7 linked regions of the Oryctolagus cuniculus genome follow. The protein of the gene in region 7 purifies or fractionates together with the protein of the main gene of each other region. This does not show direct contact. Links are inferred from orthologs where the notes say so. Each region holds a gene or a part of one and is shown on either strand. Other genes may lie near its edges. The genes, in order: PPP2R1B, MTCL1, IER2, PABIR1, MYO9A, IQGAP1 and PPP2R2B.

Region 1 (3,687 bases), on a different chromosome or scaffold from region 7:
TGGACCAGGCTGAAGCCTGGAGCCTGGGATGTGGACCGGCACTCATATGGGATGGCATTATAGACGGCAGGTGTTGCTTGCTATGCCACAACACCAGCCTGCAGCAGCTCATTCTGTTCTTTGAAGGTGCTTTATTGAGGAATTTAAAATTCTAATATTTCACACAAATTAAATTATTGACATCCTTCCTCTGTAAGGTTGCTCTCTCTCTCTCTGCAACTGAATTATTACTTCTTTCCTGATTTTTGTTTTCCTTCCAGTTTGGGAGCACAGGAAGAGCCTTGTTTATTTTACTGCATCAGTAGCCTGTGGTGGGTTTTGCAAGCATTCTTTGAACAGTGAAATGGCAGCTCTGAAATGATTCTGTGCTTCATTACAGGAGTTTTCTGTCACTTGCTTTTGCATTTTAGAAAGTGTTGTTTAGTGGGTACTGATTGGTGATATGTTTTAAAACTCTTTGTTGCTTAATAAACTAACAGTAGTGTAAAAAATCCAGAGAATTATAAGGAAGAAAGGAGTGGTTGAGTAGACAGTGTTGAGCAGAGGGAGGAATTTAGACTGGGAATTTTTTTTTTTTAATGGGAGAAAGAACCAAGTATTAGAGTTAGCAATCAACCAAATCTTGAGAGAAGAGAGAGAGAGTAAAAGAGAGGAAGAGAAGACTAAACCAGGAGAGAAAACAGACAGAACTGGCATGGTTCGCATTCTTCTCACAGCAGAATTGAGAACAGCCTAGAACACAGTAGGCATCTGGCCAAGTAGAATCGAGTGCAGTTAAGGTCTTGGTCAAGGCTGAGCTGTGTCGTATGTGCTTGGTCTCTGGTTGCTCCACAGTGGGATCCCTTCTAAGGTACTGGCATGATGATGAGAAGAATCGCAAGCATATTAAAAACAGTAATTAGAGGAGAAGACATGGATGCTTTAGCCAGCTGCACCTTAGGGGAAGGAGGGGAAGAGGTTTGGGCCAGAGACAAAGACTGGGTGTGAAGGGAAAGAATGTATTATGAGTAAAGCAGCTGGCTTCAGCTTGCTCCTTAGAGGGTACTTTGGGCGTTGGTGATAGGTTGTGTCTCCACAGACCTCGGTCAGTTTAATTATTGGTAATAAATGTATAGTTTCTTCTGTGTGCTGTTTTGCTGTTCTCCTCGTCATTAACCAGAAGGATCTACAGCAGCCTGAGGACACTTGGGCACTCCCTGTCTGGAGGCCTGGGTAAGTTGCCTAGGGCAGAGCTGTGGCATGAATAACCATTCCTGTCCTTCCTTTCACCCAGGAGAGTTGAGCTCAGCTGGTGACAGAGTAGAATTAAGGAATCATTATCTGCCACTCTCAATTTGTTACGTAAGCCCAAATTTTAAGTCGCACTGAACTTGTAAAATGAAGTGACACTGCACCTGTCTTTGGAGCTGTATGCAGAAACTGGGTGAGGAGAGTAGCTTAGACGTTTGTCAGCTAATGTATAATGTTCTTGGTAAATGGTCTTGTAGGGAACTGTTAGATGTTAAGACAGGCACATTTACTCACACAAGGCGTTTGACGTTTTATCCCAACCTAAGTGTTTTTCATGGAAAACAAATGAGTGGGTCTGAGTTTTCATTTGCTGTGTATAGGCAACTTCAGAGGCCCCTGTATAGTCTCCTTCACCTTGACACTGTTGAAACGATCTTGATAAAATATCACATTGGTCATCTGGCCACTTATCAGGTCTTTGTTTTAGCTTTCAAAATGCTCTGTGGTCTGGGCACACTCTTAACTTTGCAGTCTCAAGAATTTTAGTTTTGCCTTTGTGCCTTTGTGCTTCTGTTTTGCCTTTTCCAGGAATTCTTCCTCACTTCTGTGTTTAAACAAATCCTCCCTGATCTTCAGAGTCTAGTTCAAAGTCTCTCCTGTGGCCGTCCCAGAGCTCTTTGTCTTTTAGCCCCCACGGCATTTACTACACAGTGTCAGACTTCATTACGGTTCGTCTTGCACCATGGCACTTCTTGAAGTGTGCTGTCTTTCATTTCTCTGATAAGAACATGTGGTCTTTCTATTTTTTTAGTACCACTTGGAACATCACAAGGACTTAATGAATTGATAATGCATGTAATGAGCTTCTTGTATCCCTTTTCCTTGAACATACTGTAAATTTTGAAGCAGTGACAGTAGATCAGTATTTTGTGAGTTGCAGCCGAGTATGCTTGTTGTGGTATGATTACATTTGGGGTCTGGTTGCAGAGAGCTTTTGTTTTGGGCCCACAGTTACTGATGTTGTAAGTAAACTCCATTCTGCTTTTCAAGTCAGCAGTGAGAATGTGTCCTTGATCTCTTCTGCAGTGTATGCCATCCGGGAAGCTGCCACCAACAACCTCATGAAACTAGTTCAGAAATTTGGCACAGAGTGGGCCCAAAATACCATCGTTCCCAAAGTATTAGTAATGGCAAATGATCCTAATTACTTGCATAGAATGACAACACTATTCTGCATTAATGTAAGTATTACCTAACTATTATTGCTGAGCTCACGTTAAAGTACTACTTCTCAACTATACTGCTGAATTCAGACATACCATCTTCTATTTGGAATACACTTCTTGTAGTCATTAATGTGGATGGTTAGAAGATGAGAAAATGTTGATTTTAAAATTCATATTAAATTTTATGGTATTTTGGAAGTTGCAGTTTAGTTGTAAATTCTAGTCTGATTCTTTGAATGCTCCCTTGTATTCCTCATTCATATGCTCAAGCTGGAAACGTATTCCTGTTGATGAGCTACTTTCTTACGAAATATGAATTTGTCTCTGTAGATCTTGGGAATTTAAAAAAAAATATGTTTTGAGACGGGCATTTGATACAGCAGTTGACACCACTTAGGATGTTCATATCCCATATCAGAGTGCTTGGGTTCAAGTTCTTGATCTGCTTCTGAGTCCAGCTTCCTGCTGTAGGCAGCAGTGATGGCTCAAGTACTTGGGTGTCTGCTCCCACATGGGAGACCTAGATTGAGTTCCAGATTCCTGGCTTTAGCCTGGCCCAGTCCCACTATTGTGGGCGTTTGGGGAGTTGAATCAGTAGATGGAAGATCCTTCTCTGTCTCTGCCTCTTTGCCTTGCAAATAAAGTGAAAATATAAGTAAATAAATAAAAGTTTTAAGTGTCCTCTCTTATTTATTTTTCTAGGCACTGTCTGAAGCCTGTGGTCAGGAAATAACTACTAAGCAAATGCTGCCCATTGTATTAAAAATGGCAGGAGACCAAGTAGCAAATGTCCGATTCAATGTGGCCAAATCTCTACAAAAAATTGGACCAATTCTAGATACTGCGTAAGATTTTCGTGTTGTTACTGTTTTGAAAGTATGTTTTAACTTTTCTCTTGTAGAAGGGAGTGATTGCTATAATTAAGTTCCATGAGTTTTGGGTTACAAGGTGTTGATTGGTTTAAAGAAAATAGTAGGCAACCATTTTTGAAGACGTTTACTTTGACATATTTAAGCTTTGTACATATGTAGACTAGTGTCTGAAGCTGATTTTTTTGAGAACCTCTTAGAAATTTAGTACATTTGTTAAGTTTTGTGTTTTAAATTTTTTATTTTAAATTTTAAAAATTTTCATGGAGTTTATACATCAAAAAGGATTTCTCTGGCCCACTGGACTGCCTCTCACAGGTACCTTTTGAATTTCAGTGCTTTGCAGGGGGAAGTTAAGCCAG
Region 2 (3,687 bases), on a different chromosome or scaffold from region 7:
CCGGGGGTGGACACTGCAGAAAGGGCCAGAGGGAATTTTTATTTGTAACAGAATAAAGGAAACCATGTGCCGGTCTGATGGCAGTTCCCTTGCCCTTCCTCCCTTTGTCACCCGCCTCGTGGCCTTTGGAGGTTGACAGGGCTTCAAGCCAGTGGAGGACAAGGCTGTGTGGTGGGACCGCAGCTACATCACTGGGTCTCTCTCTCCCGGGGGGCCATGAGCATGTGGTGGGCAGGGCCTGGGGGTACTCTGCAGCATGAGCACCTGCCGTGACACCTTGCAGGAGGGTTGGCACTGGAGGTGCCCACCGGCGAGGGCCATGCCAAGCCACAGCTGGGAGTTGAGCTGCATTGACTGCTGGATGGCCCCACCCTCCCGCTTGTTTGCAGTATTTGAGGGTTGGCACTATTTGGTTTTTTTTTTTTTTTTTTTTTTTTTTTTTTTTTTTTTTTTTTGACAGGCAGAGTGGATAGTGAGAGAGAGAGAGACAGAGAGAAAGGTCTTCCTTTTTGCCGTTGGTTCACCCTCCAATGGCCGCAGTGGCCGGCGTGCTGTGACCGGCACATTGCGCTGATCCGAAGCCAGGAGCCAGGTGCTTCCCCTGGTCTCCCATGCGGGTGCAGGGCCCAAAGATTTGGGCCACCCTCCACTGCACTCCTGGGCCACAGCAGAGATCTGGACTGGAAGAGGGGCAACCAGGACAGAATCCAGTGCCCCGACCGGGACTAGAACCCGGTGTGCCGGCGCCACAAGGCAGAGGATTAGCCTATTGAGCCGTGGCACCGGCCACTATTTGGTTCTGATCAGAGCAAGGCTCCAGCAACAGTCCCACAGCCACAGACGTCCAATAAACACCCACAGGGCCAGCTCGTAAGCAGGGAGTCTGAAGCAGCTGCAGAGTGTTCCAGTGGCTTAGGGGAGGCTCCGTCCCCACTACCCGGGCAAGGCAGGGCAGGGCACAGGGCTGCGGCGTTCAGGGCGCGTGATGACCTCCTCTCTCTGCCTCTCCAGGGCGGTGTCTGTGTCCTCCATGTCGGAGTTCCAGCGCCTGATGGACGTGTCCCCCTTCCTGCCTGAGAAGGGCCTGCCGTCTGCCAGCAGCAAGGAAGACGTCACCCCGCCCCTGTCCCCTGACGACCTGAAGTACATCGAGGAGTTCAACACCAAGAGCTGGGACTACACGTCCCCCAGGTCCCCCAGCGGGGCTGGGGCCGAGAGGCCTGCGGACCTCTGGGCAGACAGGACCGAGGTGGGGCGGGCAGGGTGCGAAGCCAGCGCGGAGCCCTTCTCGGACTCCTCCTGGTACCTGACCACGAGCGTCACCATGACCACGGACACCATGACCAGCCCAGAGCACTGCCAGAAGCAGCCGCTGCGCAGCCACGTCCTCACCGAGCAGTCCGGTGTGCGTGTGCTGCACAGCCCGCCCGCCGTCCGCAGGATGGATGGCATCGTGCAGGGGGGCAGCGAGGGCAGGGGCCGGCTGGACCCCGAGGGGCCCTTTCCCACCAGCAGGGCCAGAGCGAGCCTGGGCGACGCCAAGGGGGGACCCCTGGAACCCATGCTTGGAAGGTGGCCTTGTGCCCCCTGCAAACACCCCCGAGACTACATGGAGGGGACCCTGCGCCCCCTCGAGAGCCCCCTGTGTACCCCCCTGGGCTTTGCCTCCCCCTTGCACAGCCTAGAGATGTCCAAGAACATGAGTGATGACATGAAGGAGGTGGCTTTCTCCGTCAGGAGCGCCATCTGCTCCAGCCCGCCCGAGCCACAAGTTAAGGACATGGCCTGCCAGACCAACGGGTCCCGGACCACGGGCACGCAGACCGTGCAGACCATCAGCGTGGGCCTGCAGACGGAAGCCCTCCGGGGCAGTGGTGGCGTCACCAGCAGCCCCCACAAGTGTCTCACACCAAAGGCGGGGGGCGGCACCACACCCGTGTCGTCTCCTTCCCGCAGCCTTAGGAGCAGGCAGGTGGCCCCCGCCATCGAGAAGGTGCAGGCCAAGTTTGAACGCACGTGCTGCTCCCCCAAGTACGGGTCTCCCAAGCTGCAGCGGAAGCCCCTCCCCAAAGTGGACCAGCCAAATAGCAGGACCTCACCGGGTGTGGCCCAGAAGGGGTACAGCGAGTCGGCCTGGGCACGCTCCACCACTACGAGGGAGAGCCCCGTGCACACCACCATCAACGACGGCCTCTCCAGCCTCTTCAACATCATCGACCACAGCCCTGTGGTGCAGGACCCCTTCCAGAAGGGGGCGCGGGCTGGGAGTCGGTCCCGCTCGGCAGAACCCCGCCCCGAGCTGGGCCCAGGCCAGGAGACGGGCACCAGTTCCCGGGGAAGGTCGCCCAGCCCCATTGGTGTAGGCGCTGAGACGTCCAGGGAGGAAGGGGGAGAGGGCACGCCGGTGAGGCAGGACCTAGCCGCTCCCCCTGGCTACACGCTCGCCGAGAACGTGGCCCGGATTCTCAACAGGAAGCTGATGGAGCACGCCTTAAGGGAGGAGGCGAGGCAGGCCACCCACGGTCCCCCGAGTCTCAGTGACAACCACACGGCAGATGCGGCCACAGCCGAGCCAGGGCCCATGGAGGTAATGGCACCCTCTCCCTCCAGCTCTTCCATTTAGGGGTGGGTGAGAGGGCACCTGGCCAGGCCGTTGGTTGCAGGAAGAAGCGTTTTTGTCTCTAAGTGGCTGTGGTGAGCGGGGGCTGAGTTGGGTTTTGGGGAAGATAGCATAGGCAGAAAGGGTTCTGGCCTCTGGGCTCGGTGATGGATCTGTATCTGCACCCCCAGGGTCTGCGTTCTGGGTCATGATTTGCCCTTTCTGTGTGTGGATGCATGTCACGGCACGTCCAAGTGTGCTACATGGGAGGGGGCCAGGGGGGTGAGGACCACGGGGACACGTGCTTGTCACGTGCTCGTCAGGGACTGCAAACACAAGGTCGATGTCCCAGCTGGCCTCCGTGCAAAGCAGCAGTCTGGACTCTCAGGAGCGGCTTCCCCTCTCTGTGTGTGTGAATCCCCCGGGGCAGCAAACCCAAGTGAAACAAATGTGTAAACCCTGAACCTTGCCTCTGTACAGGAGGAGGTGGCACTGCCGCCCTGACATTGCTCACCCATCAGTCAGCCTGGAGTTCTGTTCTAGGACACATCCCCCGGGGTGTACTTTGCACCTTGCCGCTTGAGCCAGCAGCTCCCATTTCCAGGCCTAGAATGAGCAAATGAAATAAGCCCTGTGATCCTGCTGGTGCTGATGGCCATGGGGAGGCCGGCTTCTCACTTCGTGCAGCCCTGAGCAGGTGTGAACGCCTCGCCCAGTGAGCATTCTGCAGGCTGGTCCTCTCCCCAGGGTCGGGGAAGAGGAGGGGAGCAGATTCTTTTCTGGGCTGCCACCACCTGGGCTGCCCTGGCCCCAGGGCAAGGAGAGGAAGAGGGTGTGTGCCCCACATCACAGGGCCTGCATTTCCCAGGGGGAGAAATGCCAGCACAGTTAGAGGGCCAGACTGACCCACCGAGGAGTGCTTACCTAAGAATACAGAGGTGAAATCCGAAATGGCGAGCTGAGTGCAGGTGCCGGTGACCTACAGAAATGGTGATTCCCCGTGATTCAGCCCAACACACATGCTGGCAGCACGTGGCCCGAAGAGCCCAGTGTTTGTGAACAGGTTGTTTCCAGGCTCTGGGATGGGC
Region 3 (4,242 bases), on a different chromosome or scaffold from region 7:
AGCGAGGCAGGGGTGGGGAGCGGCACAGAAGGCCCATTTCATAGATAGGGAAACTGAGGCTGGAAACAGCAGGCTCTCTTTGGCGTACCGCCCGGAAAACGCTGGAAGTGGAGGCGTAACCAGCATTCCAAAGTCCACCAGTTCAGCTCCATCGCTGGCGGACGCCCGAGGTCAGCCGCGGGAGGAGGCAAGGTCCCCCAAATCGTGCTTACGCCCCCCACTGGGAGAGCGGATTCAGGGGGCGCAGGACCAGCCTGCTCCCTCTCCCGCCCACGCTGTAACCACCGGTCAAACCGGCTCCTGGGGTCCCCCCACCCCGCCCCAGCCGGCCGCAGCCAGCGCGTGACCCCTTAACCCCGCCCCTCCCCCGCCGCGGCAGGAAACCAGACAGGCCAAACTTTTATACTTAAGTCTTTTTTGTCTTCTTTATTTTTCTGACGGTCCCTAACAAAACCGGCTAGGTGAGATTGGCTTTGAAACCACAACCCACCCATCCCCTCCCAAGGAAAAACTCCCGGGGCCACCACAGGAGCCCTCCCCTCCCCATCCCCGACCCCCACCCCCAAATCGGGCCAGCCATGGCCGCCAACCGGTCCCCCAGCTTCAGCCTGCCGTGGGCACGTATTGGGGGTGGGTATGGGGGGCACCGCCACCTGCACAAGACCAGAGAAACCACCTCTCTTCCCAGCCACCACCACCCCCGGGGGGGAGGGGCGCGCCGGGCGTGGGACACTGAACCAGCAGCGGGCGGCGTGGGCGAGGTGATCAGGCTGCCCTCCACCCACGGCGGGGCGGGTCCACACCCCGGACCCTCCCTCCCAGGCCCCGCACCCACGCACGCCAACAGGAAGCGGCCCCGTGACGCAACGCTGACCGCCTGCACAAGTATGTCCCTGGAGGGGGGGAGGAGTCTCCTGGGACTTTGCCACGGCACACGGCGGCTCTTGAAAAAAAAAAAAAACCACGGCAGGCCGGCGTTGAGCCCTCGGTGGGAAAAAACAAAAAACAACAAAATTAAGTCCGACCCTGAGGAAATGAACGGTCCAAGCCCACTCCCCCTGGCTCCCGGTCTGGGAGAGGGTTAAGGCCCGCGTCTCGGTCCATTTAGACAGCACCTGTGGTCCGCGGAAGGCGCCTGCGCCCACGGCTCCTCCGGGTTTGGAGAGGGGGGCGCGCATGGCCAGGGTCCCCCCTCCGGGATGCTCGGCATCTCCCGGCGAGCCGCGCCGCTCCTCTCCGCGCCGCCCCCTCGATGCAGGGCGTGCGCGCGCCTCCGTGTGTTGAGTGGTGGGGAGAGGCTCGTCCCCGCGTCCGCGCCCTCGGGCCGACGACGGTTCAGTTCGCGCGCGCGCGCGTTCTGGGCTCCGGCAAGCGCCCGCCGCCCGGGTGCTCAGAAGGCCACCACGGCGCGCACCAGCACGTTGAGCACACTGTCCTGCGGGCGGCAGGCCGGCTTGGCCTCGCGCGGCGCCGGCGCCGTCGGGGGGCTGGCGGGGCTGCAGTGCAGGAGGCCGGAGAAGCGCCTTTGGAGGACCTGGGCCAGGTTGGGGAAGGCGCCCTCGCTCTGCGCCGGGGCGGGCTGCAGGCGATCGGCGACCCTCGCCGCCGCCGCCGCCTCCTCGTCCGGGTCCGCCTCCATGCTCTCTTCCTCTTCCTCCAGGCGGGCCCTCTTGCTAGGGATCAGTCCCGGGTCCCCGCCGTCGCTCAGGCTGCAGCTGCTCCGTCGCTTGCGGCTCGCCTTGGCTGGGCGCAGGGCGCAGCGGGCAGGGGCCGCCGCCTCCTCCTCGGCTCCCGGCGCCTCCTGCGTGTCCATGGGCTCGGGCGAGGGCTGCTCACCGTCGGGGGGCGCTGCCTCGGTCGTGGCTTCTTCCGCTTCCCGCGGCGGGTGCAGGCGAGGGTCGGCGGGGCGGGCGGGCGGCAGGGGCGCGTCCGGCTCGTGCGCCTCCACCTTGGCCGAGAGGTAGAGCTCCCGGGCGCTGCGCATGACCAGCGACAGCTGTAGGCTCCGGTGCAGCCGCAGGCCGCCGCGCTGCATGCGGGAGTGGTACAACTTCCACACCGACAGGGTCATGATGCGCTGGGCTTCCTTCTGCACCTCCATCGCGGTTCGACGGCGGACGGGACGGGCGGCAGGTGCACTCGGGGCGGGGGGGTACGACGCGCTCGCTCACGCTTCTCCGCGCCGGGACACCGCTAGGACGCTCTGCCCCGGCGCCCGCCACCCGAGCCCTTTTATACCCCGGGTGACGTCACAGGGACGCCCCGCCCAGTAAGAAGGCCGCATCCGGGCTTTCCGCGGCCCCGTGGCCGGAGCCTCCTTAAAGCGACAGGGTGCAATTTACTCGCGGTGATGGAAAAAGGGGGACAGGAGGGGAACCCCGGCCTACGGTGGAGTCCCCCCCGCCCCGAGGGGACGCTGAGCTCTCCGAGTGCGGGCCCTGGGGAGGGGCGGCGCGGGTGGGGCTCCGGGCCCGCCCACGTGCTCGCGCCGTCTGCACCCAGGGCCCCTTAGCCCGGGAGGCTCGGGGCCGAGCCGGTCATTCCCTCCCGTCGCCCAGCCGTCTGAGCTTAGGGGCGCTGGCTGCGTGTTGGGTGCTAAGCTCTCTTCTTGCGCGGGATGGCGCTGCTGGGCTCCGGAGCTCGAACGCCCACCGGGCGGAGGGGGCGGGTGTGGGTGGTCGTCCGCAGACTCCGGAACGCAGCCCAGCCATCGCCCACAGGCTCACCGCTGCGATGCGACACCCCCCAGGTGGGCTGGGCCCCGGCCGCAAACGGGGCACGGGCCCCGGCGACGAACACGTGGCTGCCGCCCCCCGTCGGCGGCGGAGGAGAGGGGGCCCTGCTCTGCCTCTGCGCCCCGGGGGGGCGGAGCTGGAAACTGAGCCACGCGGAGAAAACATCGGCCCCACCCTCCGCCACGAGAAGACTCAATTCCCGTAGCTTAAAAAAAAAATAGAAAAAAAAAAGAACATTGTTCAAATGGTTGCATTCACTCGTGGTGCGGGCCCTTTAAGAGGCGCCCTCCACCCCCCTCCCCCGGCTTACGCAGCCTTCCCGCCACTGGGGCCCCGCTGACTTCCACAGCTAAATTTGGAAGAAGTGACGTAGGGCGAACGCGCCAGCCACTTCCGGCTGCCCATATAAGGACATGGGGCTGGGAGCACCACGGCGGGCGGGAGCGGGCTTCCGGGGGCGGAGCCTCGGCTCTGGGCACGCCCCCTCCTCCGCCCCCGCCCCACCCCCGTGCGCGCGGACTGCCGCGGCCGGCTGGAGCCTGGGGCTTCTGGGGGCGGGGCCTCGGCCCGGACACGCCCCCTCCGCGGCTGCCGCCCCGCCCCCGCGCGGCCGGCTGGAGCCTGGGGCTTCCGGACTCGGAGTCCGTCGGGGCCGGGCGTGTGGGGCGGGGGAAGAGGAAGGCGGCGTTTCCTTCCCTCGTGGGGGCCAGGAAGGAGCGACGCCCCTCCGGGCAAGCACCCCGCCCGCGCGGGCTCCCACTACGGAACCCCCCGACGGCGGCGACCCTGAAAGGACCCCCCAAATCACCTCATCCTTAACCGATCCCGCCCCTGCCCTACAGTCCAGAAGTCCCGTCTGCAGGCCGCACACAGCGGCGACTCTGCCCCACACCACGGGCGACCCCCGGAGGCATCCCGCACACCCTCCCGAGAGGGGAGACCCGGCCCCCCACCTCCGATTTCCCGGGGACCTTCACCGGGGTGCCTCCTCAGGGGTCCCCCTCAGGCTCGCGCGCCCAGGTGACACCACACCCGCCCCCCAGGGGTCTCCTCCCGCGGTCGCTCCGCCCCAATACGACCTCGGGGGTTCTCCCCCCACCCACCCACGCCCTGCAGGAAGAGCGCCGCTAAAATGCCCGCAGCCCTTCCCACACCTGCTGCTGGGGACCCTGGGCTGGGACGGACGCCCCGGGGCGGGCTCCGGGGATGGAACCCACTGACCCCCCACCCTTTCTCAGCTGGAATCCGACTATTATTATTTACACTGCCTCAAAAGCAAACAATTCACTTAGACTGCGAACCCCTCCCGCCCATTCAACGGCCCGGCACTGTGACTGAGAAGGCGGGACATGCGGACCGGAAGTGTGGCCTTTGCCCACACCCAAGATGGCGGCAGCGGGAACGGAAGTTTCCTCCTTTCGGACCTCTCTCTCCTCTGGAGGTCCCGCTCTCGATGGTGGCGAACCGGGGGCGGGGGTGGCGGCGCTTCCTCCTGGGCTGCGAGGCA
Region 4 (4,433 bases), on a different chromosome or scaffold from region 7:
TCCTCTCTGGATCTTGCTTCAACAACAAAAAGGGACTGGACAAAAAATGACTTAACTGTCTTTAAGTTCACGTATCCATGTGGCTATCTAATAGCCACCTCCAAATCAAATACAACAATCAACACAGAATTAGTAATTTCTATACCTCTAAATATGTTGCTTCTCTGATTCAGAAAGTAACACTATCTACCTAATTTAAGTAAAAAAAAATGAAGTCAGTTCTTGACATACTTCTTTCACCATCTAAATTTAATCTCTCCGCAAATCTTACTGCTACTGCTTCCAAAACCTCCTGAATCCATCTTCTCTCCATGGCCACTGCTTATTAGTCCAATAATCTCTTGTCTGTGCCTTTGCCATTGGTTCCTAACCCACCTTTCTGCCTCCACTCTTGCCTTCTTTCAATGCTGTTACAAATACCAACCTGACAGTATGACTTCCCTATGTACAATTCCCTAGCGGACTTTCATCAGACTGAGAAGGAAACCCAGACTCGTTTACACTCCCCTTCACCCCCCTCCCTTATGCTTCAGTGGCACTGCCCTTTTTTCTTTTCCTGCTAACCGATCACGGCTGCCATGGGCCTCAGCTCTTGCTGTTCTCTCTGCTTGGACTACTCACGCACAGACGTCTGCACCACTTCTCCTCCTCGTCCCTTACATCTCAGCTTTCATTGCCCCTTGCCTCCCAGCAGCTGGGCTTTAACACGTGATCCCGTTTTTGTTTTTTCCTAAGGCTTACCTCTATCTGCAAACAGCTATTTATTTACCCACCCCCCCACCCTTGACCCCCGTGGAAATGAAATGTTCTCTGAAAAGGCCCATTTCTTGCACAGTGCTTGGCATGTAGTAGCTACCCAGGAAGAAACTTTGAATGACTGACTGAATACATTTAATTGAGACATAAATGTTTTATATTAACTGCAAATTACCATCCTCTCTGGTCTTTCTCCGGATGGTTCTAATCTCCCACTAATCTTTTCTCCAGACTGCAGCCAGCGAGCTTGTCAGTTGTTGTTAACCCCACGTTTGAAAACCTTTGGAGATGTTACTGTTCTCAAGAGACACACCGTAGCCTGTCCAGCTCCCAGTCAGTCTTCACTGCGGGCCACACGCCCCCTCCCTTCCCCTCCTGGTTCCTGCCTGGCAGCTGGCTGCGTAGCCCCTGCTGCCCGCTTCCTAGAAGGTTCTACACCATACCACTTAGCGTTCTACTTCGCGTTTCGGGAGATGGCCTCTTCCTGGGGAAAGCCCTCCCTGATTCGGTCAAGCCCCACTGCCCGCCATAAAACCCCACATCACTAAGGCCCTTTGAGAGCTTATGTTCGTTTCATTAAGTAGGCATTCCTGAACGTAAACCTATCAATATGCGCTAATAGGAGCTCGCGCCCAATTAGCTCTTCGCGGAAGGAACGTACACTCCAGCGCCCAACCATTCGCCGCCCCTCCCCCCGGCGCCTGTGGCGCAGCGATTACGCACTTAGCAGGCGCCGCGGAGACAGATAGCGCAGAGCGCCTGCGCGAAGGGGCACGCATGCGCACACGGGAGGGCCCGCTGACAGATTCTGGGTGGCAGCGGCGGCGGCGGCGGCCCTGGACTGCGGGGAATGGGAGTCCTAGGTCCCTGACTGAGCACCGCCCCCGCCTCCCTGCCCCCGACATGGCTCAGGAGAAGATGGAGCTGGACCTAGAGCTGCCTCCGGGTACGGGCGGGAGCCCGGCGGAGGGCGGCGGCAGTGGCGGCGGCGGGGGCCTTAGGAGGTCTAACAGCGCCCCCCTGATCCACGGCCTCAGTGACACTTCGCCGGTGTTCCAGGCCGAGGCGCCGAGCGCCAGGCGGAACAGCACGACGTTCCCGAGCCGCCACGGCCTGCTGCTGCCGGCCTCCCCCGTCCGCATGCACAGCAGCCGCTTGCACCAAATCAAACAGGAGGAGGGCATGGACTTGATCAACCGAGAGACGGTCCACGAGCGCGAGGTGCAGACCGCAATGCAGATCAGCCACTCCTGGGAGGAAAGTTTCAGCCTGAGTGACAACGACGTGGAGAAATCCGCCTCCCCGAAGCGCATCGATTTCATTCCGGTGTCCCCAGCACCGTCACCCACCCGGGGGATTGGGAAGCAGTGTTTCTCACCATCCTTGCAAAGTTTTGTGAGTAGCAACGGATTGCCCCCGAGCCCTATCCCCAGCCCAACGACCCGATTTACTACTCGGAGAAGCCAGAGTCCCATCAACTGCATTAGACCAAGTGTTCTTGGACCATTGAAAAGAAAATGTGAAATGGAAACTGAGTATCAGCCAAAGAGATTTTTCCAGGGCATCACCAACATGCTTTCTTCCGACGTTGCACAGCTGTCAGATCCCGGGGTGTGTGTGTCTTCGGATACCCTTGACGGAAACAGCAGCAGTGCGGGATCTTCCTGCAACTCACCAGCGAAAGCCAGCACTGCCGCCGACTCTCCCGTGTCACCTGCCCAGGCAGCCTCGCCGTTCATCCCTGTAGATGAGCTTGCATCTAAGTGATCCGCTCGTCCTGAGACTTTGTGGGCTTTTTTTTGCAATGGAGAGAGAGGAGAGAGAGAAATCAAGTTGGAGCAAGCACTGAACTCTGTCGATTAATTTGAGGCTATTTCCTATTTGACCCTTTTCCTCTTTTGGGATTTCCTGAAATGTTGTTATTCTAGAGACCTCTCATGTCAGGTTCCTGCGGATGCCCTTGAATTCAGTGTAGTAATATTTTTGGACTTTTTCCCCTAAGTGTGTTGAAGCATACATCTTTACGCTGCTAATATGTCTAAATACATATGTTATCCCTTGATTTTTTTAAATAATTGAGAGCTCTATTTATTTATGGGATTATTAAGTTCTGATGAAAATATAAATGTTGAACTAATCAGCATAGTAAACTGATGTTTTAAAAATTCCATAATTCATGCACACACTAATTTTAATGTTATTTTTCAGTGATTGCTAATTTCCATTTGATAAAGAACGATAACTTACCTATTTACAGCTTTTAAAAAAATGTTAGTTTTAAAATGAATGCAGTGGTTGTCTCTTTTACCCAGGAATCCTTAGTGGGTTTTCCTGGATACAGAAATGGATGGGAGGAGGACTGATAAAAGAACACCTCAGAAAAGTTTGCAACAAGTCTTAAAATTATATCCAAGTAAAACATTGAAGAAAAATGTTTTCTAGTGACATTTTAATAGTAATTCTGGTAGGTTGTGCAAATATAGCTAGTATTCAGAATTTTTTTTTTTAACCAGAAAGTACATTCTCTTGGGTGTAATCCTAAAGTAAAATGGGACGGTGCCTTGCAGTTGTATCCTGCTGTAGAATAGGCTGAGGCTGAGTTCTTTTTCAAATGTAGAAAACGTGTGGAAAGTCTGGTTGAAATTCAGAGCCTCCAGGCAGACAGCCCTCCGTCAATTCGTTGATGTGCTTTGAAATACCCATTGTGCCTCCGGTTGAAAACTCTTGCCAGTGAGTAGGCGGAGCAGGTTTTTTGCTGCTTGTGTACCCTGTGTAGCTGTCCCATCCCTGGTTTCCCCTTGGTTGGGAAGAGTGGCTGTTTCCTTGTCAACAGGTCCTTCCTCCCAGCCTTCCACCAAACTGGGGCACCATGGGATAGGCAAAGGTACGGTGTGAATCAGGTTTCTGACAGCAACAAACGGAACTGTGAATTGTTGAACTCAGTGGTTAAAGCTGGGGCTGGAGTCAACTGTCTTGGAGATGTCAGTTAACCAAGAGTCGATGATTTGTGAGAGAAGATCAGTGGAGTGTCACAGATAAATCATTGTTTAACTTAGGTTTTGTTAAAGATAGAATTATGGAATGATGGGTGTTTTTTGTTTCATTTTGGTTTTACCTTTTACAATGAAAATACGAATCACAATTTTTTTATATTGTACTTCCTTTAATACCTCATATATTAACTAGATAGATAGATAAAGATACACAGACAAAAAGAGTGCAGCAGGAGATTCCGTAGATCAAGGCGAAAGCCCCAACTTAACGTTTTAAAGTTACTGCCTCCGAAGACTTTAACAACTATGTGGAATTTTTACTACTGTGAGAATAAATGGAACTGGTCAACTCTTGGCAGTTGCTTCAAGGTTCAGTGAATTATATTAAGGGTAAGATTGTGTCTACAGTTTAAAATTCTGTTGTGGGTAACAGTGTCCATGCTCCTCAAATTCAAGCCTGTATCAGTATATCCAGTGTCCTATTGGGTGCCTTGACCTGCTTCCAGATGGACTTTAACTTCAGCATCTTCAAAACAAAACTTTTTTTTTTTTTGTCATCTTCTCACTTACCTATTTCTGCCTTACCTAAAGTGATGCTGTAGCTATCTAATTTCAGATCATCCAAACTAGAAGTTAAGGTAGACTCTCTGACTTGCCCTTTTCCCTGTTGGTCACATCCAACTT
Region 5 (3,687 bases), on a different chromosome or scaffold from region 7:
AAAATTAACTTGTGCAGCATGAAAGCACCACTAAATTTTAAATTCTTAGTTCCATCAAGGTTGTACTCATGTTATTTAAAGTGGTTGTTTGAACCCAGTGTATCTGGAAAACTTGTGTTTAGTCTTCACCCATTTAGCTACTTAGCCATATAACCTCTAATCATGGCATAAAAAATGTAATCCTTTTTCCTTTTCCTGTGAAAGTGTAGGATAAGGAATGATGGCCAGTTTCTGTTCTTGTGTCTTGCCCACAGCGTTTCTGGAGGAGTTGCCTCACTCAGAAGCAGGCGCGGGGTGAAGCTTTGCTGGAAGATGCTGCGGCTTTGGCCAGTGCGGCTGCTCGTCTGCAGGCTTCCTGGCGTGCGCATTCGGAGCGGCAGCGCTACTTAGAGCTGCGAGCTGCAGCCGTGGTCATCCAGCAGTGGTGGAGGGAGCACCGGAGACGCAGACACAGGGCCGCTGTGTGCATACAGGCGAGGTGGAGAGGTTACAGGCAAAGCAAGCAGTACCAAGAGCAGAGGAGCAAAATTATCCTCCTGCAGTCAACATGTAGAGGATTCAGAGCAAGGCAGAGGTAACCTCATCTGTGCCTTAAGATTTTTTTTTTTTTTTTTTGACAGGCAGAGTGGACAGTGAGAGAGAGAGAGAGACAGAGAGAAAGGTCTTCCTTTACCGTTGGTTCACTCTCCAATGGCTGCTGCGGCCGGCGCGCTGCACTGATCTGAAGCTGGGAGCCAGGTGCTTCTCCCGGTCTCCCATTCGGGTGCAGGGCCCAAGCACCTGGGCCATCCTCCACTGCACTCCCGGGCCACAGCAGAGAGCTGGCCTGGAAGAGGGGCAACCGGAACAGAATCCGGTGTCCCGACTGGAACTAGAACCCAGTGTGCAGGCACTGCGAGGTGCAGGATTAGCCTATTGAGCCGCGGCGCTGGCCAAGATTTGTTTTACAATTGATTATGTATAATGTGTTTCCTTTGCTATACTACGATATTCCTATCAGTTTTTAACCTGCTGTATCTTGTCTACAATAGAAGTTAAGTGTTGTGTTAAATTGGATTGAAGACCTACATGGTCTATGGTTATAATTGCTAAGTGTTAACAATTCTTACTATATTTGTGTTAGGCTTAATCTTTTTTTTAAGTTTTTTTATAATATCCACTATTTATATCTTCAAAAACTTTAAATTCATATTTAACGCTTACTTTAAAGATATTATTAAAATGAGAATTTTACTTTGGAGTTTATGTTTTGACTAGAATGCCCAGTTAGGAATAAGACACTTAATGAAAGTATCATCTGATTAATGGAAATAAGAGAATTTAAAATGTGTGATCAAGTTTGTTTAAGAAATACTTGGATGTTGTGAGTAGAAGATTTTGTACCTTTCCATGTTCCCTGAGTTCTCAGTACGCACATCCTTTCCGGTATCAACCAAGAGTCATTTCTGAGGCCGGCGCCGCGGCTCACTAGGCTAATCCTCCGCCTTGCAGCGCCAGCACACCGGGTTCTAGTCCCGGTCGGGGCACCGGATTCTGTCCCGGTTGCCCCTCTTCCAGGCCAGCTCTCTGCTGTGGCCAGGGAGTGCAGTGGAGGATGGCCCAGGTGCTTGGGCCCTGCACCCCATGGGAGACCAGGAAAAGCACCTGGCTCCTGGCTCCTGCCATCGGATCAGCGCGGTGCGCAGGCCGCATCGCGCTGGCCGCGGCGGCCATTGGAGGGTGAACCAACGGCAAAAGGAAGACCTTTCTCTCTGTCTCTCTCTCTCACTGTCCACTCTGCCTGTCAAAAAAAAAAAATAAATAAATAAATAAAAAAAAGAAGGTTATAAAAAAAAGAGTCATTTCTGACCCATTCTGTTTTTCTACAGATTCAAAGCGTTAAAAGAGCAGAAACTTAAAGAAGCAAAGCTAGAACTTGGATTGGTGAGCACAAGGGCATATGGAGCTCTGGAAATTCAGGGCTCAGACCCTTCCAGCTGGGAGGATTGCTCCTTTGACAGCAGAGTGAAAGCCGTAGAGGAATGTAAGTCTGTGGTAGAGAGGAATCGCCCCCGCCGTGAAGGCTCAGTGGACTGCTCCAGGGAGTCCCCAAACATGCGGCAGGAGAGAGCCAGAAGCCAGAGTGGTGTGGACTTGCAGGGAGACGTGGTGGTAAGAGAACGGCCCAAGTCCTTGGAGGACCTGCATCAGAAGAAAGCAGGCCGGGCCAAAAGAGAGAGTCGGAGAATGAGAGAACTAGAGCAAGCTATATTTAGCCTGGAATTGCTGAAAGTCCGTTCTCTGGGAGGTGTGTCTCCTTCCGAGGAGCGCAGGTGGTCTACGGAGTTGGTGCCTGAAGGCCTGCCCTCTCTGCAGGGCACACCTGATAGTGAAAGCTCTCAAGGAAGCTTGGAGCTTCTGAGCTGTGAGGAAACCCAGAAAGGCAAACCAGAGTCTGTGATTGTAGATGGAGGAGATCTGCAGATTCCAGCACCTGCAGTATCTAGCAGTCCAAAAGCTGACACACAGGACTACACCCGCAGCACCTCCAGTGAGCTGAGCCGTGTGTCTCTTCACAAGGGAGTGCCTGTAGACTCAGCGCCCTCGCAGGGTGACTCTGGGGAGGAGAAGCCGGTCTGCCGCTCTGAACCTGTTACCTGCAAGCCACAGCCGAGAGACCTGTTTATTTCCAGTAGTCTGCCTACTTTTTTTTATATTCCCCATCAAGACCCACTAAAAACAAGTTCCCAAGTAGACACAAGCACCCAAAGAAACAAAGTGTTAAAAAGTGAAGACACGCAGGGGACAGTTCTTCCTTTCGACGTCAGCAGGGAAGCTGAAAAGCATCGCTTCTCAGGAGAAGAGCACATTACTCCTTTTGTGAAGACAGAATCTGCCAGTACTGTGCTTAAGAAGTTAGAAAAGCTGAACTCGGAGAAGGAAGAAAGGCAAAAGCAGTTGCAGCAGCAGAATGAGAAAGAGATGATGGAGCAGATCCGCCAACAGACAAATATCCTAGAGAAGGAGCGTAAAGCCTTCCAGACCTTGGAGAAGCCAAGAACTGGAGAGTCCTTCCTGGCCCCGTCTTTCTGTCTTTCCAAGCAAAGAACGGAGAGGCCGTCCTCCCTACTCATCCCAAATGTCCCAAATAAGGGAGAACCTGGTGCAGGAGGATCCCCATCAGTAACTGTAAAAGATACAGCTCTTGCCCCAAAAGACAGTTGCTCTGCTCACCTAGCCTCGAAGGACAGACCTATGACTCTGTTCTTTGAAAGAAAAGGAGCCCAGTGCCAATCTGGTGGTGTCACGGAATCATCTCAGACAGACAGAATGGGCACCCAACAAAGTATAGCCTGTAAACCCTCCAATAATCGCGTTTCAAAAAGAGAGCACCTTAGGCCGACTCCGTCTTCTGGCCACACGTCTGATGACCCTTCCAGAGAGGGAACCACCAGGGCCATTTTCTTTACACCGAAGGACAGTGTGAATATGCCCCTGTGAGTGGAGTGTGTGTTTACTTTCGTGTGTGGATGGAAACAGCAGAGTTTATTAAGATGCCTGACTCTGCTGCACTTTCTGCGTGTATGCCCCTCAACTTGGGCATTTCTCCTCATTGTTTCTACCCACCACTGGAAATCGGCTACAATTTTACCATAAGAATCGTTGACAAGGCCTAGATGCTAGAGTGTTTGATTCCTTCCCATGCTA
Region 6 (3,687 bases), on a different chromosome or scaffold from region 7:
ATCCCTGCCATCACCTGCATTCAGGTATCTCAGAGCCCGTCACACAGGCAGCAGGGGGGCTTCTAGAGCAGGCTGAATAAACTGGCGTCTCTCACCTTGGAGTGTCCGAGTGTGGTTTTTTCTTCTTTTTGACTTCTGACCTCATTGTCTGGTCTTCTGACGAGTACCTGCTGCTTTACTAACGCTGCCATCAGACTGTGCTTTCTGGAGCTTGGTCCTCGGGCTCCTCTTCCTGTCTTCCACGACTGTGCCCTTGTGTAAGATTTGAACCCTCAGAGACAGCGAGAGGTTTGTTAGTGCACTGTCATGGCACGAATGCTGAGTTGGGGATTAGGGCTGCGGTGCCCCCAGAGTGGGGACTCTGTTTCCTCTCTGTGCAACAGGGATCTGCTCTTGGCTTGCCTGGAATGGTGCATGGTGGTGCTGAGGACAGGGGAGTGAGAGTCAGCCCTTGTGTTCCAGTAGAGGGACAGCCCCTGCCCTTGTTCCCCCGGCCCTGCTGGGCATGGTCCTGGGTAAAGCTCCATCGTGAATTTGCGCTGGGCTAACACGAGAGCCTGGATGAGGTTTTGTTCTGACTTTGGCTGATCTTTGGGAAATGTCTGACGGTTGCAGTCACAGTGGAGGGGATACAAGCAGAAGAAGGCGTACCAGGACCGGCTGGCCTACCTGCGCTCCCACAGAGATGAAGTTGTGAAGGTACGGCCACCGAGCAGGCTTCCCGGTGTGGGGAGCAAGGGTGACGTGCAGCGTGCAGGGCCCTGCTGACTCCTAGGTTCTCTTTCTGCAGATCCAGTCCCTGGCAAGGATGCACCAAGCCAGAAAGCGCTATAGAGATCGCCTCCAGTATTTCCGAGACCATGTACGTACCCACCTGGGGCTGTCAGTTTGGCTGTATTTCTGATGGGCAGATGAGCAAAGGAATTTCTCTGTTTTTGTCCTGTAGATCGATGACATCATCAAAATCCAGGCTTTCATCCGGGCAAACAAAGCTCGTGACGACTACAAGACTCTCAGTGAGTAACTGGCTCAGCAGCGAGGAGCTGAGGTGTGGTTGAACACCACCAGGTTGTGGGTATTCTCGGTGGATCTCTTGTTGTCCTGAAGGCAAGGCCTAGGTAGGGTGCTGCTTGTGAGTGAAGCCCCTTTGCTGACGCCTGGCTGATGTCTGGTTGCTAGCTGTGTTGACAGCATGACCAAGAAGGCCGTCCTTGATGGCTGTCTTAGCACATCTCAGAAGAGAACAGAACCTTGGGTGTGAAGAGAGCTACTTTTTTCAAGACAGTTCTGATATGAGGATCTTGAGAAAGTTCATGGAAATGTGTAGTACGAAAAAAACTCATAGATTTCAAAACTTTTTTCACCAAAATAAATTCATCTCTGCATCTCATTTTCCATGAACTTTTTGAAGTGCCCTCGTGTTTCCTGAGACTTAGAAGTTTTTCTGGCAACTCTGTTCTTTGTCTGATGCGTGTTTTCTTTCTGTCAGTCAACGCCGAGGACCCTCCCATGATCGTGGTCCGGAAGTTCGTGCACTTGCTGGACCAGAGCGACCAGGATTTCCAGGAGGAGCTCGACCTCATGAAGCTGCGAGAGGAGGTGATCACCCTCATTCGCTCCAACCAGCAGCTGGAGAACGACCTCAACCTCATGGACATCAAAATCGGGCTGCTGGTGAAGAACAAAATCACGCTGCAGGTACGGCCCGGCGCGGGGGCCCGGAGCTGCCACAGGGAGGCTGAGGCTCACTTGCTTCTCAGCTCATGCCATAAATTATTTTTTTTATTTATAGAAGAAATAAAACAATTTTATAAAATTTTAGGCAGAGAAAAGAAGATGAGAATTCTCCCCTAACTCCAGCATCTGACAAGCATCTTGTGTGTGTGTATTTTTTTTTAAGATTCATTTATTTATTTGAAAGGCAGAGTTACACAGAGAGAGGAGAGGCAGAGAGAGAGAGATCTTCCATCCACTGGTTCATTCCCCAATTGGCCTCAACGGCCAGAGGTGGGCCGATCCGAAGTCAGGAGCCAGGAGCCTCCTCCTGGTCTCCCAAGGACTTGGGCCCTCTTCCACTGCTTTCCCAGGCCATAGCAGGGAGCTGGATTAGAAGTGGAGCAGCCAGGACCCGAACCACCACTCATACATCTGTTGGCGCTTCAGTCCAGGGTGTTAACCTGCCGCACCACAGTCTTGGCCCCTGAAAGGCAGAGTTATAGAGGCAGAGGCCAAGGCAGAGAGAGAGAGAGAGAGAGAGAGAGAGAGAGGTCTTCCATCCACTGGTTCACTCCCTACACGGCTACCAAGGCCAGAGCTGGGTCGATTTGAACCCAGGAGCCAGGAGCCTCCTCCAGGTCTCCCACAGGAGGGCAGGGGCCCAAGGACTTGGGCCATCTTCCACTGCTTTCCCAGGCCATAGCAGAGAGCTGGATTGGAAGTGGAGCAGCCAGGACTCGAACCACCGCCCATACAGGATGCCGGCCCTGCAGGGAGTGGCTTTACCTCTTACGCCACAGCGCCAGCCCCAGTAAACTGTTTTTACTTCATATTATAGGATGCAACTCTTATATATAGTCATAAATCTAATAATTTTTTATTTAAATTTTTTTTATTTGATAGAGCCAGGGAGAGTACTCTCATTTGCTGATTCACTCCCCCAAAAGCCCACAACAACCAGGGCCGAAGCCAGGAGCCAAGAACTCAATCTGGGTGTTCCATATGGTGGTAGAAACCCAGTCACCACCACTGCCTCCCAGGGTTTGTGTTGGGAAGCTGGAGTCAGGAGTCAGAGCCAAACATCAGACCCAGGCAACCCAGTGTGGAATGTGGGTGTCTTAACCACGCCCCATAAATGTTATTTTAAATTTTTAAATTTATTTTAGAGTTCTTGCCTGGGGCTGAAGTCCATCCAGGGCTCATGTGATAGGATAAACCCAATGACTTTAGCCATCACCACTGCCTACCAAGATCTCCATTACCAGGGCACGGAATCCATGCACTCTGCTGTGGGATGCGTGGGGCCCAGTGAGTGTCTCAACCACTAGGCTGAATGCTTGCCCCCAAATAATGTTTTTAATGGCAGCATAATAATCTGTTAGATTGTCACTTTTCCTTCCTGCAATTTGACTTTTAGATTGTTTTCTGAGTTTTTATTGGAAATAAAATCGCGGTTGATAGCTCCATGTATTTACTGTAGTTAAGACTTGGTTTTAAGACAGAGACCTAGGCCGGCGCCGCGGCTCACTAGGCTAATCCTCCGCCTAGCGGCGCCGGCACACTGGGTTCTAGTCCCGGTCCAGGCGCCGGATTCTGTCCCGGTTGCCCCTCTTCCAGGCCAGCTCTCTGCTGTGGCCAGGGAGTGCAGTGGAGGATGGCCCAGGTGCTTGGGCCCTGCACCCACATGGGAGACCAGGAAAAGCACCTGGCTCCTGGCTCCTGCCATCGGATCAGCGCGGTGCGCCGGCCGCGGTGGCCATTGGAGAATGAACCAACGGCAAAGGAAGACCTTTCTGTCTCTCTCTCTCACTGTCCACTCTGCCTGTCAAAAAAAAAAAAAAAAAACACAGAGACCTAGAAGTTGGTGTCCTGAGTCAGTGGACGTGTTTGTGGCTCAAGGTGTTCATGGGAAGATTGAAGCGGGAATGAGCTGGATTGTTGTGACGGAAGCAGGCCAGAATGCAGCAGCTG
Region 7 (3,687 bases):
AGCTTGGCTGACTGGTATCTCCCCAAACATCAAACAGGATAAGTTCACGTACCATTAGTAGACAGAAGAAAGTAAGCTGCATTCTGTTGGGGGAGCCATCTTATTTTATTGATTTTTTCTTCTATTTCTAAACTCTTCAGGTAATCGAACTCGGGTTCATGGCTCTGGAATGTGCTGTAAACATTGTATTCACCCCTGCGGTGAACCTGGTTTTTACTCTGCAGGAAGGGAAAAAAAAATATATATATATAGAAGATTAAATTATGGAAGTCAACTTCAAAATCACCGATTCCCTTTTTTCTTTCTTTCTTCATTTTTGGGCAGAGTCACTGTGATGAGAACCAGGATGAGGACAGCCCCATGTTTTATCTTACTTCAATGGCTTCTCAAGCTATTTAAAAATTTTTATTTATGTTAAGAGAGAGAGAGAGCGCGCACGAGCGTGTGCGCACTCATTCCTATCAGTTGCTTTATAACCTCAGTGTCCTACAACCTAGGCTGGGCTCTGGCTGAAGCTGGGAACTCAGTTGAGGTCTCCCCTGTGGGAGGGCAGGAGCCCAAAAACTTGGAGCTATCGCTGCTGGCTCCCAGGGCTCGCATTAGAGCCGGGAATCACACACAGGAACTCCAATATGGCATGTGCATGCTTCAGCTGCTAGTCTAAACACTCATTCTTCCAAAGTTTTTGATCATGCTCCCCATTAGCAAATATTTAGACCTTCAATATGCATATATTTATTTGTAACCTATATGCATGAACTTCAGCACTTATATATGGTGTATATCATAACACAAGCACAGATACAGAAGTTAAAATAGGACAAGATTTTAAAATCAGTTTAAGTAGCAGCTTCAATATTTATATTTTGTACTCTGAAGTATGCCTTGGATATGAGGTAAGCCACCTCACACTGGTGTCCCTGTGCAAGGGGCCTTCAAGAAGTAATTGGGAACATGGAATGAAAGGAGAAGTTTATCCTGGTGCAGAAAGTTTGGAGAAGCATTTTTTCCCCCACAGTACACCTTTTCCATGAATTTTTTGAAGACCCTTTGTATACTGGTAGCAATCTCTTACAAACAGTACAAAATTGCAGCTTCAGCAATTTTCACTGGCTTTTTAAAATCTCACAGAATCTGAAAAGCAGGCAGGGCGGGGACATGGACAAAAGAGGGTCAGAAATAGTAAGCTGTTTCTTTAAGGTCACAGAGCTCACAAGGATCCAGTCTGGGCATCCGACTCTCTCTCTCTTCCTCCCTAACACAAGGGACAAAACTGGCACTCAGAGATGCCAGCTGTATCACGATGCAGCCGATGAGACTTTTCCTCTGGCTTTCCCCTAGCAACGATTAAAGAGCAAACAGCAGGAACTAAATAAATGATGAGAAAACGAAACACAAGGGCAAGAAAGGAACAAGGGAAAGAGGACGGGAGAGGAGAGAGAGAGAGAAAGACAAGAAGGGGAGGGGGGGAGGTGTTTCAGTCCCTGGAGGACCGTCCTGCCCAGAGAGTCAAGACTCAGGCGTTAGAAACCTGGACAACAGTTCAAACCTGGCTCTCAGTAAACAACAGCCACAGAAGCTTGACTCGGAGTAAACCTGCTCCATTTAAAATTTTGTATTGCCGGGTGGATAGAGGACATCCAAGCCCACATCTTAACTGACTCATGGGGGAGGGTGCTGCCCTCGGCGTGAAACACTTCCGAGTGGGCACTGAGGTTCCTACAAACAAGCTCTCCATGACTAGGCATCCTAGAACCAGAACCAAGTCTGCCCCATATGACGTCACCTGGCTTGGTTTCTCATGTTTAGCTCTCATTTTAATCCCTAGCTTGACACAATAGCATACACTTAACTGCAAATTCTTTTTCCTCAATGGCATTTATTTTTTCTTGAGCTAAACCACCCTGCTTTGGAAAACATGTCCCTTGTCATTCCACTAATGAATCAGGCTTCCTAAATATTTCAGGAGATTAAAATAGGAGACCCCTAAGAAGAGCTACCGGAAACTGCAGACCAGGTCACATGTGGCCATAGGTAGGTCATGCTAAGTAGCTCCTCCAGTTCTACCCTCTTATCACAGTGAATCCAACTGGAGCTTTTTAAAAAAAATGTAGAGAAGTTCTGAAATTCATTTTCAGAGGACTTTAACTGCTGACACACTTGCTTACTTGCAGAGAGAGCCAGTCCACCTTAACAATAAATTTATACGAGTGTTGATCTGCTACCTTCCAAATCAGACTGTCAAGTGTGTGTAGCATGTGCCAGACCAATTAGCACAAGGCAGCTCTGGAAGAGCAGGAAAAATTCCAGGTCACGAAGAGCTAGGAGTTGCTGCTTGCCAACCACATTTTCGCATTTCCAGGGCCGATGCAATAGGCTGGGTGCCTGATTTAATGCTCAACACTTGAATTTATACAGAACCCCAAGGGATTATGATGCCCTTATAGAAATTAATTGCAAATAATGTGCAATTACCAAATATATCACCTCTAAATGAGGCTTCCCTTTTTTGAGGGGAGGTGTAATGCAAATGGCTTTGAGGCACAAAGCAGGCATTAAATTGCCAAGGCAGTCTCCTGTGAAGCCTTCCTCGCGCTTCCCGGGGGCTGGGTGAATCTCAGAGGCAGGCAGTGGCAGATGGGAGAGGACTAGGGACACAGACTCGCCTGCTGGAAGCTCCACCACCATGCCAGGGGAGGCCAAGGAAATCAAATTGGGCCATAATTTCATTCTGACAAAGCAGAAGCATGCACACATACACACACACACACACACCCCACAATCTCAATTTATATGAAAAAGAGAAATAATTCCTAGTGGATTCCAAGTCTTGGAAACAAATGGGCTTCTGGAAACTCGCTGGAAGTCAGCGCTTCTGCTCCCAAACAGAGGTGCCCATAGAGCTCAGCTCGGGGCACCTTCGTGTCACCTATGCCAGGGGCGGTGCCAGCCATGTGCCATGTTCAGATGTCACTTCAGGACATTGCATTCCCTTTATGGGAACTGCACTCCATTTTCTTCTCTGCTGACCGCACTTGTCCTGTTCCCATCCGTTGGCAAATACAACTCCTTTTTACCTTCAACTTATTCTGGCAGCCACCCAAAATCGAGGGAGACTGACTGTCGCATGCTCAAGGAGACTGTCACCCCAAAAGGAGGCGTCACGATGCTCAACAAGCACCCATGGAAGTTTGCAGATCAGACAAGCGGTGGAGTCATCACGGGGGTCTGATATCCAGGCCTCGAGCCTTGGAAGGCCATGCCCATAGCAGGCTGTCTTTGAAGGGGCCTCTGTGAGTCTGTATGTGCAACTGTTGATATTAATGATTTTTTGGCAGTTTTTAGTTTGTGAGCAAAGCAGCAAGGTTAAGGGCGACACATGAGGATTAGAGAACAGTAGGAGGCTTCCTTGAAAAAGAGAAGCAAACAGGCATTTTGCATTCACTGCCACTTACCTCCTGCTCTCGTTGAAATATTACAACCCGACCCCCCTTGTCCCCTGTCGCTAGTAATTCTCCCGTGTGGTTGAATTCTACCGTAGAGATAATGTCAGCTGAAAAGAAGAAGACAAAGGCAACGTAAGTAACTGCACACTTACTTTGAAAGGATAGATAATAGACATTCTTTTTCCGCGCATTTAAGGGCTTAGGGCTCTGTCGCTGCAGTGGAATTTACAAGGATTTTACA

The links.
Region 1: the proteins of PPP2R2B (region 7) and PPP2R1B purify together in Homo sapiens (affinity purification with mass spectrometry; 4 studies listed by BioGRID and IntAct, with this or other methods). This does not show direct contact. The link is inferred for Oryctolagus cuniculus from reciprocal best matches to the Homo sapiens genes PPP2R2B and PPP2R1B.
Region 2: the proteins of PPP2R2B (region 7) and MTCL1 purify together in Homo sapiens (affinity purification with mass spectrometry; 4 studies listed by BioGRID and IntAct, with this or other methods). This does not show direct contact. The link is inferred for Oryctolagus cuniculus from reciprocal best matches to the Homo sapiens genes PPP2R2B and MTCL1.
Region 3: the proteins of PPP2R2B (region 7) and IER2 purify together in Homo sapiens (affinity purification with mass spectrometry; 3 studies listed by BioGRID and IntAct, with this or other methods). This does not show direct contact. The link is inferred for Oryctolagus cuniculus from reciprocal best matches to the Homo sapiens genes PPP2R2B and IER2.
Region 4: the proteins of PPP2R2B (region 7) and PABIR1 purify together in Homo sapiens (affinity purification with mass spectrometry; 4 studies listed by BioGRID and IntAct, with this or other methods). This does not show direct contact. The link is inferred for Oryctolagus cuniculus from reciprocal best matches to the Homo sapiens genes PPP2R2B and PABIR1.
Region 5: the proteins of PPP2R2B (region 7) and MYO9A purify together in Homo sapiens (affinity purification with mass spectrometry; 4 studies listed by BioGRID and IntAct, with this or other methods). This does not show direct contact. The link is inferred for Oryctolagus cuniculus from reciprocal best matches to the Homo sapiens genes PPP2R2B and MYO9A.
Region 6: the proteins of PPP2R2B (region 7) and IQGAP1 purify together in Homo sapiens (co-immunoprecipitation; 3 studies listed by BioGRID and IntAct, with this or other methods). This does not show direct contact. The link is inferred for Oryctolagus cuniculus from reciprocal best matches to the Homo sapiens genes PPP2R2B and IQGAP1.

The regions. Positions count from the first base shown.
Region 1 is NC_091432.1:103,700,848-103,704,534, reverse strand, and holds part of PPP2R1B (serine/threonine-protein phosphatase 2A 65 kDa regulatory subunit A beta isoform), read left to right. Parts: intron 1-2,316; coding exon 2,317-2,471; intron 2,472-3,158; coding exon 3,159-3,301; intron 3,302-3,661; coding exon 3,662-3,687. UniProt on the Homo sapiens protein: The PR65 subunit of protein phosphatase 2A serves as a scaffolding molecule to coordinate the assembly of the catalytic subunit and a variable regulatory B subunit.
Region 2 is NC_091441.1:65,956,452-65,960,138, forward strand, and holds part of MTCL1 (microtubule cross-linking factor 1), read left to right. Parts: intron 1-1,011; coding exon 1,012-2,587; intron 2,588-3,687. UniProt on the Homo sapiens protein: Microtubule-associated factor involved in the late phase of epithelial polarization and microtubule dynamics regulation.
Region 3 is NC_091447.1:62,549,308-62,553,549, reverse strand, and holds IER2 (immediate early response gene 2 protein), read right to left. Parts: upstream 2,965-4,242; 5' UTR 2,102-2,964; coding exon 1,391-2,101; 3' UTR 399-1,390; downstream 1-398. Other genes in the region: STX10 (syntaxin-10), read left to right, coding at 4,085-4,242. UniProt on the Homo sapiens protein: DNA-binding protein that seems to act as a transcription factor. Involved in the regulation of neuronal differentiation, acts upon JNK-signaling pathway activation and plays a role in neurite outgrowth in hippocampal cells.
Region 4 is NC_091432.1:161,632,678-161,637,110, reverse strand, and holds PABIR1 (PPP2R1A-PPP2R2A-interacting phosphatase regulator 1), read left to right. Parts: upstream 1-1,511; 5' UTR 1,512-1,533; coding exon 1,534-2,523; 3' UTR 2,524-4,104; downstream 4,105-4,433. UniProt on the Homo sapiens protein: Acts as an inhibitor of serine/threonine-protein phosphatase 2A (PP2A) activity. Inhibits PP2A activity by blocking the substrate binding site on PPP2R2A and the active site of PPP2CA.
Region 5 is NC_091443.1:111,163,003-111,166,689, forward strand, and holds part of MYO9A (unconventional myosin-IXa), read left to right. Parts: intron 1-254; coding exon 255-574; intron 575-1,868; coding exon 1,869-3,476; intron 3,477-3,687. UniProt on the Homo sapiens protein: Myosins are actin-based motor molecules with ATPase activity. Unconventional myosins serve in intracellular movements. Regulates Rho by stimulating it's GTPase activity in neurons.
Region 6 is NC_091443.1:100,738,743-100,742,429, reverse strand, and holds part of IQGAP1 (ras GTPase-activating-like protein IQGAP1), read left to right. Parts: coding exon 1-24; intron 25-615; coding exon 616-699; intron 700-790; coding exon 791-862; intron 863-946; coding exon 947-1,016; intron 1,017-1,489; coding exon 1,490-1,698; intron 1,699-3,687. UniProt on the Homo sapiens protein: Plays a crucial role in regulating the dynamics and assembly of the actin cytoskeleton.
Region 7 is NC_091437.1:34,207,601-34,211,287, forward strand, and holds part of PPP2R2B (serine/threonine-protein phosphatase 2A 55 kDa regulatory subunit B beta isoform), read right to left. Parts: intron 3,554-3,687; coding exon 3,456-3,553; intron 219-3,455; coding exon 53-218; intron 1-52. UniProt on the Homo sapiens protein: The B regulatory subunit might modulate substrate selectivity and catalytic activity, and might also direct the localization of the catalytic enzyme to a particular subcellular compartment.